Linked DNA regions of Cricetulus griseus. The protein of the gene in region 2 interacts with the protein of the main gene of each other region in a pairwise test. Links are inferred from orthologs where the notes say so. Each region holds a gene or a part of one and is shown on either strand. Other genes may lie near its edges. The genes, in order: Zswim7 and Swsap1.

What was found.
Region 1: the proteins of Swsap1 (region 2) and Zswim7 interact in binary tests that used the Homo sapiens proteins (3 or more experiments, as listed by UniProt). The link is inferred for Cricetulus griseus from reciprocal best matches to the Homo sapiens genes SWSAP1 and ZSWIM7.

Annotation. Positions count from the first base shown.
Region 1 is NC_048600.1:76,290,662-76,294,579, reverse strand, and holds the end of Zswim7 (zinc finger SWIM domain-containing protein 7), read left to right. Parts: intron 1-582; coding exon 583-687; intron 688-1,977; coding exon of another isoform or gene 1,978-1,997; coding exon 1,998-2,114; 3' UTR 2,115-3,113; downstream 3,114-3,918. UniProt on the Homo sapiens protein: Involved in early stages of the homologous recombination repair (HRR) pathway of double-stranded DNA breaks arising during DNA replication or induced by DNA-damaging agents. Required for meiotic progression, hence for fertility.
Region 2 is NC_048597.1:134,851,862-134,855,408, reverse strand, and holds Swsap1 (ATPase SWSAP1), read right to left. Parts: upstream 2,575-3,547; 5' UTR 2,549-2,574; coding exon 2,306-2,548; intron 1,641-2,305; coding exon 1,038-1,640; 3' UTR 809-1,037; downstream 1-808. UniProt on the Homo sapiens protein: ATPase which is preferentially stimulated by single-stranded DNA and is involved in homologous recombination repair (HRR). Has a DNA-binding activity which is independent of its ATPase activity.

The DNA.
Region 1 (3,918 bases), on a different chromosome or scaffold from region 2:
CCACATGTCTGTGTCCTTCTTCCATCCTGCTGGATGAGTAGGCAGATCTGAACTTGCCTCCTTTCCTGGGACCTCCATCCTGAGCAGCTGAGTCATCCCTTTCACAAGACTCCACTTTATTTATTCTCCCCACCCAAATGCTTCTTTCACCCCTTTCTGCTCTCTTCATCCGAGAGCTGCCTGTTCCTGCCTCCCCATGCACTCTTTACCCATTTTCACTCTGTGGGAATGTAACAGTAGCTTTAGAAATGTCTTCAAATGCTAATACCACAGATGAAGGGCCCCACAGTAAAATGCACACAAGTTTTTCTCTTCACTTCTTGTTACCCCCTACAGGCTAAGACCTGTGTATCACATGGGAACAAGAGGCTGTGTGGAAGGCTGGGTTAGATTAAAACTCTTCCACTGTTGAAAGTCCTAGAAAGCTGCAGAGATAAAGTTTGTACACTGAAGGAAGAAAACTTGCGTTTCCTCTTTTGTATCAACTCCACTGCAGTTCTTCACAATGATGTCTGTCCATCAGCAACTCTTATGTGTTGAGCAAACCTTCTGAGTTTCTAACAATGTCCATCCTTCTCCCAGGTGCTTGGGAGTTCTGGCAAAACATACACATGTATGACTTCCTGTCATTACTGCTCATGCCCAGCATTTGCCTTCTCAGTGTTACGGAAGAGTGACAGTCTGCTGGTAAGAATGGGCTCTTGCCACTGCACACAAGTTGGGAAAGAGCTAGACTCATATCAGACTTTAAGTGCCACATACATTTTTGGGGTGGGGGAGGGTTTACATAGAATTGTTATTTCCCTGAATGTTGAAGACATTGTGGTTCACTGTCCTTGTCTTAGTCACCTCTTGGGATTTAATCTCCAAAAATGCAATGTCATTTTTGGTACTTCACCAGTTTCCTGGTTTTTTGGGGGGTTTTGTTCTGTTTTATTTAAAAGGTTGTAGAGGAGGTTGTGGGGACAGTAATGTAATCTTGGAAATGTGTACTGGGGAAGTAGATGGCCCAGTAAAGAGAGAACTACATAAAAGATGCTCACTCATCATCCCACTGCTTGTGGCTTGACCTCACATTCACCCTCATATGGACCAGGAACACCTCCATCTATACCTCTAAGTCTTTGTGAGCCTATCAGAGTAAGGACAGCACATGTCTGCACACTGCTTGCTCCAAAGGGAAAGAAACGTCTACCCTCCTCTCCTCAGAGAAGGTGATTAGTTCTTAGTCTTGTCAGAGAAGAATAAAGTCCACCTCATTCCTTTCCTTTATTTTTTAAAGATATTTTATAATGATTATTTTAATTTTGTTTGCATTGGTGTTTTGCCTGCATGTATGTCTGTGTCAGATCTTGGACAGTTGTGAGCTGTTATGTGGGTGTTCCGAATTGAACCCGGGTCCTCTGGAAGAGCAGTCAGTACTTTTAACCACTGAGCCATCTCTCAAGCTCCTCTCCCCCTTTTTGTATACTATTAGCAGTTTAAACATCTTCAGAGTTTGGTGCCAAATTGAGTATCTCTGTTAATTCATATACACACCCTACTAGCCATTAGTGTGGTATATTTCACTTATAAAAGTGACAGGATTGAACCATGGTCCTCTCAGGATTCAATGTTGTGTTCTGTGACATTGGTCTAACAGAGTCATCTCCCCACATTTGTGTATATGTGAGAATTTTCCCGATGCTCTTTTCCCACCCCAGAAGATAGCAATGGTTAAAGTGGAGTAGAGGCTCTGCATGCTCATTATAATGAAGTTTGAACCTGCTGGATAGCTATTAGATTTGCATGAGCTCATTTGTGAGGAACACAGAGCAGTATAGTGCCTCAAGGACTGTCAACCATTGCTGTAACCACACTCTGAAGGCGAGGATAGAACCAACTGAAAGCAGGGCAAAGTTTCGATCTCCTCCTTGCATGTGATAGTGAGGGGTCTTGATTAGACTGGCCAAACATGATCTTTCTTGTTCCTAACAGGTTTGTGTTTTGTATTCCAGTGTAAGCATCTCCTGGCAATTTATCTTAGTCAGGTTATGAGAAACTGCCAGCAGCTCAGTGTGTCAGACAAGCAACTGACAGACCTATTATTGATGGAGAAGACACAAGAAGCATAAAAGGTGCAGGTGGAACAGCTTTCAAGACAGAAGCCTACCAGGAAATATGTTCAACATCTCATGGTTCACAGGATGGAGGGACAAGATACACTTCCGGACTTGTTACTGTCACTTTGCCTTCATAGGCTGCAGGGTGGGCTTTGGATTGGCACTGTAGGCTGCAGAGAGTTGTGTGGTTAAGAGCCCCACATGATCTTAACATGAACCAGCCTCTGAGCCCCACAGATAGAAACATCCCTGGGTACAATTCAATATTGTTGACTCAAATAAAGCCCAATACCATGTGTCTGCAACTAGATCAGGTTACTAAAGTACTAGTAACTTTGTAAAGGTGGGATGGTAGACCAAACTGAGTAAGAGCAAGCTTAAATGAGAAAATTATTCCTTAGTAAAGGACTAGAGCAGACATGTAGCTAAATGGCAACAAGTATGAGAAGATGAGGGGCCTTCTGCTAAGCTCATCTGTGTGCTGGTGTCAGGGCAGCTGATGGGGATGCACTGAGAGAAATGATGTGGAAAAAAGGGAGAGCTGGGTCTGCTGTGAGCATTTCTAGGCTTTTATAGCAGGATAAAGATACACTAAAGCCCTGGAAGGGAACTAGATCCTACGAGGAATTTCACATGAAAAAGAAAAGACAAACTAGGTGCCAGGAGTGGTGTGGGAAAGAAGAGACAAGATAGACCCAGAGAGAGCAAAGGAACAACGAGAAAATAACTATGAAAAGATGAGATAGACCCAGAGAACAAAGGAGCAATGAGAAAATAACTGTGAAGAGGAACCAGCCTAGGAAAAGGACGCAAGAGGTAAAGTTATGACAGCCAGAAGACCCTAGAAGGTCGGGAATTCCCTGAGTCTCTAAGCACTCATACTTTTAGGAACTCAAGAAGTAGATGAAATAGGTGACTTCATAGCCTAGGGACCCCCCTGCCACATTGTTGTGCCCCATACTCAAACTGTTATTGAACAGCCTCTGTATAAAAAGCCAAATACATATTGCAGCTCTCTGGTTGGATGAGCATTATGTTGAGTTGTAGCAAAGAAAAACCAAGATTCCTTTGCTAGTTGAGAGACTTGGACTGGGTATGAGCTTCCTCTTTAAGCAGCCTTCAGGGTTAGGTGCAGGTAGTGCCTTAAGTACAGCAAGCCAGGGCAGTGCCGTGAATGTGCTTTTGACAAAGGTTTATTTCACTGAATAGAATACACAATTAGGTATTTTTGCCTAGTAAAATTTTCACACTGTGGGTTCCAATAAATTTTAACTTTGGAGAGAAGCAAACCCAGTACTTAGGTCTAAGAAGCAGGATTCCAGTCAAGGAGGGACCCCATTTCTTCAGTTTTTACCACTAGTATTTTGTGTACATGGAAAATATTGATCTTAAATTGTTTTTTTTAATTATAATTCTACTTCAAAACTTAGAATATCACTTCCCAAATTAACACAACAGTATCTTGATTGAAGAATTATACTTTAGTTTTTTGGATTGCTGCCCTAGGAACAAGTATACATTAGTATAGCCAACTTTTATTTTTCCATTGTTGTAAGTGAAAAATACTTTTATTGTAATAGTTCACAGTGTTTCACAGTAAGGTAAGTTTCAGTCATTTTCTACCATGAATGAGGCAGATTCTTAAAACTGTCTTTGGGAATCAGTTCCAGCCACTGTCATCCACATAGTAGAACAGCTGAATAGACTCATAAATGTATTCGTTAACCTTGGAGCCTGCCGATTGCATATCATATTAGGTAGCCTTGTGTAACTCCAGGTAAGTATTCAGAAGAGGCAGTTCATATGCTTGGGAGGT
Region 2 (3,547 bases):
TTATGAGTGTTCTGTTTCTATATATGTATGTTCACCACTTCATGTCGGTGCCCAAGAAGGCCAAAAGAGAGCATTAGATCCCCTGGAGCTGTAATTACAAGTGGTTGTGTCTGACATGGATGCTGGGAACTGAAACTAGGTCCTATGAGAGAATTCTTAACCATTGAGCCCTCTCTCCAGCTCCCTAGTTTTTTGATTGACTTTGAGACATGGTCTCACTTTGTAGCCCTGGTTGGCCTGGAACATTCCGTATAGATCAGGCTGGCCCTGTGCTAGGATTAAAGGCCTAGCCCTTTTTTTTTTTTTTTCTGACAGGGTCTAGTGTAGGACAGAGTGGCTTCCAACACCTTAAGTAGCCAAGGATAACCTTGCATTGTGACTTCCTATCTCTACATCCCAAAGCTGGGCTTACCATTTTGCAAAACACCACGCTCAAACTCAGTTTAATGGCTTGAAAAATGTTATGTCCTAAAAAAGCTAAATCTGTGCATACTCTGTACAGAGTGATTCTACTTCCAACCGTATACCCTAAACACATGTGCAAGGTCATGTATGTGTATGTGATTAGACTCCCTAACAGTAATGTAAGCCAAGACACAGAGGTAACTCATATGCAGGCACCATAGAGTACACAGAAGAAGCCAAGTGTGGAAGCACACTCCATATGCCCTGCCCACAAGGGATGAGCCTGGAGGGTCAGGAGTTCAAGAATAGCCTCAGCTAAGTATTTGGTCTGAGGCTAGCCTGAGCTACACGTGATCCTGTGGGAAAAGAACACAATAAGTAAGAAGAAATGAACTAGGAAACCTCAGATGATTATATTTATTTATTTATTTTAAAGGTTCTATTTATTATTATTACTATTTGTGTGGAGGGCATGTGTGTGCTTCTACCCAAATGTGGAGGCCGGAAGACAACTTGCAGGAGTCAGTTCTAGCTTTCTACCTTATGGATGCTGGGAATCAAAGCCAGGTAATCATGCTTATTGGAAAGGCCCCTTATCTACTGAGCCATCTTGCAAGCCCAGCTCAGCAATGCTACATTTTCCAGGTCTTTGATTCCGAACCTGTCCCTGAAGGAAGTATTCTATCCAAGGGAAACTGAGGGTCAGAGAGGTTGCCACATTCCAGAGTTAATGACTGGCTTTCAGCACTTGAACACTTTTTATCTGGGCTGGGCTTAGAAGCCTGGGTAGGCCATGGGATGATCTTCATCTCTCCACTAGGTAAGAAGGTCACTGACCACTCCGTCCTGGGGCTCAGCTTGCCCAACTCCAGGCTGGCCCGCAGGCAATGGTGCTGTCCCAAGTCTAGGGCATCTGGCTGCAGCCAGCACAGTGCAGGAAAATACCGTTGAAGCAATGTCAGATGTGGGGCATCATTGTCTTCTTCTTTTTGGGTCTCTAGGGCCACCACAAGCCCACAGCTGCCATTGGCTCCAAGACGGTGGCTAAAGTAGGCAGCAGTATCCAGAAGCAATGCAGCTAAGTAGGCGGCTTCCTGGACCCCTGAGTCTTCAGCTAGATATTCTTCCAGGCCATCTAGCAGTAGAAGGGACGGGGCAGGCCCTGGGGTCTCATGGGCAGAGGCCAGAAGCTGGAGAAGCTCTGGAACTGAGGATGGGTACTGGAATCGAACCTTCTAGAAGACAGGAAAAGGCAAGATTTAACATAGGAGGCCAAGGCTCCCTACTATGGCTGCCATGACTCTTCCATATTTTCCCAGTCGAGCCCCATATATAAATTTCGAGGATGAAGCACCAGCTCAGATATTCTTTGTCCTTCTTTGTCACCTGTCCTTTTCCAGCTTGTATCACTGCCCAAAATCATTTTAGTTAAGATTCTTTTTTTTTCTTTGACACAGGGTCTCATGTAAGCCAGGATGACTGAAAACTCGTGATGTAGCCGGATGGCCTGACCCTTCTGAAACCACCTCTTGAGAACTGAATCACAGGCGTGCATTGCCATGCCGGGTTAGAGGAACGAAACCCAGGGCTTCATGCATGCTAGCTGAGAGCTCTATTTTATTGTTGTTGGGAGAGAGAACGCGTGCTTCCAAGGGAAACTAACTCCACTTTAGACTCCACCTCCTTGGCGCCCACGCCCGCTAATGCCGAGCGATCATAGGACGGCCTTTCATTCACTCTTAACTAAACCCGCACTGCCCCGCCCCGTGCGGCTACCCGCCTCCTCCACCCACTTCGTCCCCGTAGGCCTTCTGACGCGCCATTGGCCTGCCGACCTGTCACTCATGCACCACCTCTCTTGCCATTGGGCGACACGTTCCAGATCCGGCCCTCCGGTTACCTGGAGCCGCCAGGGGTTCCGCGCTGCGGGTGTATTGAGCGGCAGGCTCTGAAGCGGCCTTCGTGTCATGAAGAGGACAGGCCCGCGGCCTTCCCCTGCCGCCTCGAGGGCGGCCGCAAACAGCAGCGAAGTCTGCGCGGAGCGCGGAGCGCCTAGCAGCAGCAATGGCGGACCCGGAGCTCCCTCCTCCCCGGGCCCTGCCGCGCGGCCTTCATTCAGCACCCGCCTCAGCGCCTCCGCCATTTGCCGAGTACCGCTGACCAATCAGGGATGCGTCCTCCTCCCGGGCCCGCCCACACCGATGTTTCATTGGCTATAGTTCGCAGCGTCACTTTCGGTCTCTGGAGCTGTCGTAAATGGTCAAAACACGGGACATGGAGCAAAGTGGTGCGTGAGGGAATCTGCTGCCGGAAGCCGCGTGATCAGATTAAAAGAAAGGTCGAGGGTGCAAACGCGCTCCCCAGAGACGCCTAGCCGTGAAGGGCACCAGCTGCTCTTCCAAAAGACCTGGGTTCGGTTCCCACTTCCTACAGGGTGATTTGCAAGCGTCCTTAACGCCAGTTCCTAGAGATCCGACGCCTTCTTCTGGCCTCCGCGGGCACGAGACACACATACATACCCGCGTGCGCGTACACACACACACACACACACACACACACACACACACACACACACACACACACACCCTGCGTAAAAATAAATCTTAACAAACAAACAAGCAAACAAAAAACTGTAGGTCACCCTTAGCTACATATTGAAGTTTTCGGCCAGCCTGGGCTACATGAGCTCCTGTCTTAAAATAAATAATAAAAACCAGACTCCTAACCTCAGCTTGCCCACCAGCAAAACGAGTGTTGTGATCCCTTGGGGTCATTGCAGTGTGTTGGTGTGAATATCCGCTAATATCGCCGAAGGACAGTTCACAGATGGAAAGGGACAGCTGTTCGCTTGTCTCTCCTTGCTTGGATATGGGAATATGTTTATATGGGCTACAGATTTGGGACTCAGATTTTTTCTTTTGATAGGGTGCCAATCATTTTACATTTCCTGGAACTCTGAAGATGTCTTATGCTACCATGCCAAGTTAATGCAGGGCTGGGGATCAAACCCAGGGTTTGTACGTGTTAAGCAAGCACTCACCACACTGCCTCATCCCTAGCCCTCAATGAGGGATGTTGGTGTATGTGTATGTACTCCCATGACACGGTGTGCATGTGTTCAGAGATGGGATGCGGTTCTTTC